Mus musculus: one gene and its partner. The protein of the gene in region 1 interacts with the protein of each later gene in a biochemical or structural test. Links are inferred from orthologs where the notes say so. Each region holds a gene or a part of one and is shown in the gene's direction. Other genes may lie near its edges.

The links.
Region 2: the proteins of Ddx39a (region 1) and Sarnp form a complex in vitro, tested with the Homo sapiens proteins (2 studies listed by BioGRID). The link is inferred for Mus musculus from reciprocal best matches to the Homo sapiens genes DDX39A and SARNP.

The regions. Positions count from the first base shown.
Region 1 is NC_000074.6:83,720,704-83,723,851, forward strand, and holds the end of Ddx39a (ATP-dependent RNA helicase DDX39A), read left to right. Parts: intron 1-253; coding exon 254-437; intron 438-762; exon of another isoform or gene 763-808; coding exon of another isoform or gene 809-821; intron 822-1,030; coding exon 1,031-1,149; intron 1,150-1,526; coding exon 1,527-1,658; intron 1,659-1,745; coding exon 1,746-1,855; intron 1,856-1,945; coding exon 1,946-2,090; intron 2,091-2,183; coding exon 2,184-2,331; intron 2,332-2,421; coding exon 2,422-2,438; 3' UTR 2,439-2,648; downstream 2,649-3,148. UniProt on the Homo sapiens protein: Helicase that plays an essential role in mRNA export and is involved in multiple steps in RNA metabolism including alternative splicing. Regulates nuclear mRNA export to the cytoplasm through association with ECD.
Region 2 is NC_000076.6:128,820,232-128,824,724, forward strand, and holds the start of Sarnp (SAP domain-containing ribonucleoprotein), read left to right. Parts: upstream 1-1,532; 5' UTR 1,533-1,704; coding exon 1,705-1,740; intron 1,741-4,493. Other genes in the region: Ormdl2 (ORM1-like protein 2), read right to left, coding at 30-203. UniProt on the Homo sapiens protein: Binds both single-stranded and double-stranded DNA with higher affinity for the single-stranded form. Specifically binds to scaffold/matrix attachment region DNA. Also binds single-stranded RNA. Enhances RNA unwinding activity of DDX39A.

The DNA.
Region 1 (3,148 bases):
TGTCAGCTCAAGCAGCATTTCTCAATCTTGAGGTTTATGCTAACTTATGTTCCTTATGAGCCTGATGAATTATGCCCAACCCACAAGGCTTGTGCTGGTCCCACATACCTCAGCCTTGCCCTGTTTTTTCGGCCCCGCCTGGGTTCTGAGGGAGTGGGGCTGGAGTGTCAGGTCCCCTCAGGATGGGTGGGACCTATGCTGTAAGGATCACTGCCCCCAGATGGTGGAAACAGCTTTCTTTCTGTCCCCATAGGTTTCTGTGTTCTTTGGAGGCCTCTCCATTAAGAAGGATGAAGATGTGTTGAAGAAGAACTGTCCTCATGTTGTGGTGGGGACACCAGGCCGGATCCTGGCACTTGTGCGGAGCAGGAGCCTCAACCTGAGGAATGTGAAGCACTTTGTGCTAGATGAATGTGACAAGATGCTGGAACAGCTGGGTGAGCATCCTACTGTCCTGTCCAGCTGGTTTCCCACTCATAGAGTCACAGCCGTTTTCTAGGGGGCCTGATAGGGCAGGCAGAGGTGGCTCTTATAGTGGGTCACATGGGTGGCCAGAACTCAGGGTTTCTAGGAGAAGCCTAAGGGGAATTCTGAGGTTACAGAGTATGTGCTGCTTCTGGACCCTAGGCCCCATGAGCTGCCAGCCCTTTAGGGAATCTAGAGGAGTAGAGTGGCCTCAGCCACCATCAGGGGCTGGGAGAGATGGGCATGTGTCCTGGGAAGCAGCTGCAGCTCTCACGCCAGTGGCTGTCTCTGCCTCAGGCTCCCTTTCCTGAAGCGTGGCTCAAGGCGCACTGGCAGCCGCTCCATGCTGGCAGCGAGTAAGTGGACCGCAGCTCCTCCCATGCTTGCGCTCCCGCCCATCCGAGCCCAGCCCCTCAGGCAGCGGGGACACCCCTGGGCCCACTCCACCACGGCTATGGTGCCAGTGTTGTCCGGTCCAGGTTGGGAAGGGCTGGTTCCTCTCTGCTGTGGGTCTGCTCAGTCAGACAAGACACTCAGGCTTGCGATTTGTTGGCATCCCATCCAGACATGCGCCGGGATGTACAGGAGATCTTTCGTCTGACACCCCACGAGAAGCAGTGTATGATGTTCAGCGCCACCCTGAGCAAGGAGATCCGGCCAGTCTGCAGGAAGTTCATGCAGGATGTGAGTAGGGTGACGCCCCAGCTGGCTGGCTGCCTGCCCACCGTGGCCAACACCTCAGCGCAGCAGCTTTGGCCCTCTCTGATGGGCTGGGCCACTCTGCGACAAGCACACTGCTCTCATGGCCTGGAGGATGCTAGGAGGCTTCGCCGGCCTCCTTCCTTCCCCTGGTTTGTCAAACTGGGAGCTGAGTGGTCCACACCTGAGCCAGAGGCAGAGCTTACATCCGGCTTTTGGGAGAGAATTGTTTACTGAGGTTGGGTGCAACAGGCCCTCTGGGAATCATCAATACAGAGGAGCTGCTCTCTGGAAGGTTCCGGGCACATGAGACGCCCAGAAGTGAGCCCTACTCGCCCCTTCCTGCTTCCCTCCCCACACAGCCTATGGAGGTGTTTGTGGACGACGAGACCAAGCTCACACTGCATGGGCTGCAGCAGTATTACGTCAAGCTCAAGGACAGTGAGAAGAACCGTAAGCTCTTCGACCTCCTCGACGTGCTAGAGTTTAACCAGGTGATGCTTCCTTCCTTCCTTCCTTCCACACCAAGATATGGGCCTGTGGGGTGATTATCTATGCGCCTAAACACCCTTCTTCTTCAGGTGGTGATCTTTGTCAAGTCTGTGCAACGCTGCATGGCCCTGGCCCAGCTCCTAGTGGAGCAGAATTTCCCAGCTATCGCTATTCACCGAGGCATGGCCCAGGAGGAGCGGTGAGTGCATGAGTGAGTGATGTCCACCAGGGCCAAGGCTGCTCACACCTGGGACTCGGGTTTAATGCCTCTGCTTGTCTCCCGCTCTAGCCTGTCCCGATACCAGCAGTTCAAGGACTTCCAGCGACGAATCCTGGTGGCTACTAATCTGTTTGGCAGAGGTATGGACATTGAGCGAGTCAACATTGTCTTCAACTATGACATGCCAGAGGACTCAGACACCTACCTTCACCGAGTGAGCGCCTCCTCCCAGTGTGGGCGGGCTCAGGACCTCCCCCACCCTTCTCAGATCCTCAGGAGTGACTGTCTCCTGACCATCTCTCTGCAGGTGGCTCGTGCTGGTCGCTTTGGTACCAAGGGCCTGGCAGTCACTTTTGTATCGGATGAAAATGATGCCAAAATCCTTAATGATGTTCAGGACCGGTTTGAAGTGAATGTAGCTGAGCTTCCAGAGGAAATAGATATCTCCACATACAGTGAGTACCTGGAGCCACTCAGGGCAGGAGCGGGGCTTCAGGAGCAAAGGCCCTCTATCCTCACTCACTGTGTCTTTCTTGTCTTTACAGTTGAGCAGAGCCGGTAACCGTATGTGTAGCCAGGGCAACATGGCCACTCTCTTTCCCACCTGCTGCTTCAGAACCTCTTTCTAGGTGACAAATCGATGTCTCTTTTTATTGTTCCAAAGCTTTAGTGATGTAAGAATAAACTTTTATTGTGAATGCATGGCTCCAGCCCCATCCCTTTCGGTCAACATCTCATGGGGTTGGGTCAAGCCAGCAAACTTCTCACCAGCAAACGTGCCATCTTTTTTATCAATATGATATTTAATTTTGTGTGTCAACATTGAAAGGTTTACAGGTTAAAAAAATTACAAAACCTAGTCTTTAGCTGTGAGACCTTCTGCCCTGGATGTGGAGCAGCGAGGCCTCTGTACCGTGAGCCTCAGCAGCAGGCGGGCTTCAGTGGCTGACGTGGCATCCACAGTCTTAGCTTAAGGAAACTGAACCCAGCACCCTGGCAAAGAGCCCAGGTCTCAAGGGCTCTTCCCTTTGTCCTAGGACTGCCTGCCTCGTGTACCAGGCAGTGGGCTGCAGGTCTGGGCTGGCTGCATTCTGTTTCTCTGGTAGGCAGTAGCTGTGGTGAGGCAGAGACAACCAGAAGCAGGACCAGCGACCCCTTGCCCCGTGGCAGGGCTCATTGCTGGGTTTGCATCCCTTCTTTATATGAAGTGGGGTCAAAGGCCGAAAGGTGGCAGGAACAGAAGGCAGAATGACAGCCGTGAGTATGTGCTGC
Region 2 (4,493 bases), on another chromosome or scaffold:
TTGGGTACAGGGTTTGGTTTAGTGCTCACCAAGTTATGGATGACGTTGGTCAGGGTCCAGACAACAGGAATGCTGAAGAAAGGGATGCTGAGGAGAACCACATGCAGCAGTCCTACCAAGATGATGTAGGCCAGCCAGATGCCCCGACTGTTCATCACTCGAGTGTTGGGGTTTACTTCGCTGTGTGCCACCCCCACATTCATCCTACCACAGTGAGGGATCAGGCAGGAGTCCAACTCAGTCTCCTCATTAGCCCTGATTGAGCTTGTTCCCCAGCTGTCTCCTGAAAAGCCAAAATCCCCTGAAGTCTTGGGAATGAAAGAATTTCCCTACCATGCAAAAAAAGGAAAAACTGAACACTTTGTTAAAACTTGAGAAGAGGTGAAGCAGCTGGGTGTGGTGGCTCATGCTTGTAATCCCTGAATTTAGGAGGTTGAGGCATGAGAACTGTTTGACCTTTCTCCAAAACAAACAAAAAGGCAAGAGGGTCTTCGAAATGACTAAGGTGGAAAAGGTATTTGTCACCATGCCTAAAGACCTGAGTTGGATCCCCAGGACCCATGCAGTGGAAGGTGATAACCAACTCCGGAAAGCTGTCTTTTGACTTCCGTACCTTCAGTTGTTAGTGTGTATACTCACACAAGTGGGGTTTTTACTCAGATCTTTACATTTCAACTAAATATAAAGCAGTAAGTTTAGACTGTGAGACCTATTTGAAGGATCGGAGGAATCGGGAGTATTTTAATTTACTTTCTTGAGGAAGTTAGTGAATTATAAAGAGGTCACACATACCCAGAGTTCCACAAGAAAGCTATTCAGTTAATCAAGGGACCAATAAAGAAGGCACTGAGAGTAAAGCTACCTCTAGTTCCCATCCTTTTTTCCTGGGGCTTGTCCATCCTGTCTCTCACCCGCTTGGCATTGTCAGCAGCCAAGCAATTTCATCCCTTCACTGAACGTGGGGCGCTGCAAAAACTTACCCAATTTTTAAATTAGTCTAGGAAGGGGTCTGAGCTCAGTCCCTCAAGAAATGGGAGTCCTTCCCTTCTAGGAGCGGTTTTAGTTTTTAAACTTCTGCAAGCTCTAATGCCTACTTTTGTTTTTTGTTTTGTTTGTTTTAACCCGCTCTTGCCTGTCCCACAATTCCCCAAATCAATTACAGAGTCCGCCCATGCTCCTCCCAGAGTCCCAGTTTCGCATGTCACTTTCTTCACGGGATCTCTCGAATCTAAGGTTGTCGTTTCGCCGCCCTTCCCAATACTCCCACCGATTTCTCTCTGTAACTTTTTAAAGTTTCACGGGGCCCATACCTGCCAGCTTCAGGAGCCCGTCCGGCTTGGGGCACAGCGCTGGCTCTTACACCTGTGGTCTCCAGGAAGTGGCCGACTTTCGCCCTGTCTGCGCTCTCCCTATTGGCGGAACAGAATCCGCGCTGTCCCCAATCATTGGTTGGTTACGCAATGGAGACGTACAATTGGTCGCCTTTTCTCTCGTTAGGCCATGCAAACCCCGCCCTCCCCTGGATCCACCTTTTTAGAGAGCCGTGGAAAGTGGCCAAGAGGCGTGAGAGCGCCGCCGCCGCTGACTAATGGGAAGAGCCGTTGGTGTGAGGTGGGAGCAAGAGAAACAGCGATTGGTTGGATGAGCCTAAGCGCCTGAGGTGGGGGCCAGCGGTGGGGGTCCGGTGGACTGAGGCGCATCAAGATGGCGGCCGAGACGGTGGAGCTCCACAAGCTGAAGGTACCGTTACGCGGGGAAGGCTGAGGTGGGGTTTCCTGGAGCCTAAATTCTACGCGGGGCCCTGCGCGGCCTTATTCCACGTGTTTTCCTGTCAGGCGCCCGCTTACACTTCTTTCCTGGCTCCCGTTGTTGTTTTGTGCCTCCTTTCTTAGGCCTACCTTGAACTTCGTTTCTCCTCAGTAATTTATCGCTATCGTTACCTGGTGTTTACCTGCTGTTACCTGTTCTTCTCATTGTTTTTATTACCTGCCACCCTTCCCTGCTCGGCTGTGAAGCGCCTTCTATCTTTTATACCCCTTTCTCATTTAATCTTCATTACGTCAGTGGTCCTTCCCCCGTGTCCCATGCTGACCCAAAGTTATGGTTTGTTTGTCCGTCCCCCCCGCCCCCCAACGGATTGATGTAGTCACTCCTCTTGTCCCAAAGCTGGAATTCCTCAGTTAACATATAGTGGCATTTTTGCATGTTTTGCTGAATATGTCCCAAACATAACCCAGAAAGTGCTTCCGTTCTCTTTTAACAAGGTGGGGTTAAGACCCCGCACTCGAATTTTTAAAATCAAGGAGAGGAGAGGCCTTAAGATAGGTTTCTCGGTGGAAACCTGGGGTAGAGGCTTCTCCAAAAGGTTGTAAGATGGCAAACACATCAATCCTAAAAGTTTTTCGAGTTTTCTCAGGAGGTTCTCAATGACCTGCCCTCCCTCCCCTGACTATCCTACCTCTAGAGAGAGAACGTGTAGGGTAGATAGCTGTAATATGAGAGGTGTATGAAGTATGTTTGAAAACCTTAGGATTTTGTTTGTCCTTTTAACCTTTGGGAAGGATCCCAGCTCTCTTGATGTCACCCCCAACTCCCTTTTTGGGTCTATTTTTGTTATTTCCGTGTGTCTGTGTGAGTATATGATGGATGCATGCTCTTGGAGGTTAGAAGAGGGTGTTGGATCCCCTGGAGCTGGAGTTACAGGCAGTTTTGAGCAGCCTGATGTGGGTGCTGAGAGTAGAATAATTTGGGTCCTGAAGAGCAGTAAATGCTCTTCACAACTGAGACATCTTTTCAGGATGCCTTGGTGTCACTTCTTGATAACATTCTTGAACCACAGGATCTATTGAGTTGTACATTTTGGTAACCCGAGGTTCTTTTCTTGTATGTAGACTTGCCCTTCAATTATTATTCTGTAAGGACAGTAATTCCTTTTATGAAGAATTAAGAAACTGTGTTGAGGCTGGAGAGATGGCTCAGCGGTTGAGAGCCCTGACTGCTCTTCCAGATGTCCTGAGTTCAATTCCCAGCAACCACGTGGTGGCTCACAACCATCTGTAATGGGATTTGGTGCCCTCTTCTGGTGTGTCTGAAGATAAATACAGTGTACTCATATACATAAAATAAATAAATAAAATTTAAAAAAAGAAACTATGTTGATTATTGTTTGTGTTTCAGAAGAAGCTTTACCGTTAGTTGTTTTGGTCACCTTATTCTGGGAATCTCATACAAATCAAATTTAATACAAACTGAGAACTGTTCTTACTGAGACATGATCTCACTCTGTAGCTCTAGCTGGCATGAAACTCACAGAGATCCTACCTTTATGTCTCCCAGGTGTCAGGATTAGAGACATTAACTGTCATGCCCAGTTTTTTGTTGTTGTTTTGGGTTTTTTTTGTTTTTTTTTTGTTTTTTTTTTTTAATAGTTGTTTTTAATTATTGGATTGTGATGATTTTTAAAAAAATATTTATTTATTTTATGTGTCAGGTATTTTGTATGTATGGATGTCTGTGTACCTGCACAATTACAGATAGTTTTTAGTCTCAATGTATGTGCTGGAAATTGAACCTGGGTCCTCTGAAGGAACAGTCTGTGGTCTTAACTGTTGAGCCATTTCTCCATCCATGAAAACTCTTCCTTCCTTCTTTCTTTTCTTAAAAGTTAATAATTGGGTCTGGAGAAATGGCTTAGTGGTTAGGAACACTCTTTCTTCCAGAGAACCTCAGTTTGGTTTCCAGCACCAAAATCATGTGGCTCACAACTACCTGACTACACCAGCTTCAGGGGATCGGATTTTCTCCTCAGTGTCTTCAGGCACCTGTTTCCTGTGTCACGCTCGCGCGCGCGCGCACACACACACACACACACACACACACAGAGAAAACTTTTTTAATCTTGAAAAAAAAAACTTAAAAATTGCTGCGTTTTTGTCTTTAAAACTTGTAAATGAAGGTGCTTAGAAAAAGCCCTTATAATTTAGTCTGTTAAGGTGACTTTATTGTTTGAAAGCAAATGTGTTTCTTAACTGTTGGACTCTCAAATTTCATTATTAGATTTTTATGTTATTCTAATTACTGTTAACTTGATGTAGCTATAATGGATTATGTTTTCTAATGATTACTTGAACAAATAAGGAAGAATTGAGCAACTACCTCCATTTTTTAGTCTACGTAAGTTATGTAGTTCTGTACTGTTACACATGCTATAAAACATACACAGAAAATTAATTTTTAGGTGAAAGAGATTAAAAATTAGTGGGCTATTGGGTATTCTCTTGTTTGTTCCCCTTTTGAAGTCCTGGTGTAAGTCACCAGTTGTCCCATGACTTTCCTTTATGGATATTGTATGTGTTTATGGAGTTCCTCCTTCCACCATATGAGTATTTGTTAGTTAATAAGCTTGCATTTGATTGAGTACCTCACTTATCTAATGTTTTCTGACCTGATTTCAGGTATATAGTCTTAAGAGAACACAAGGCAGTCCTGAGGGT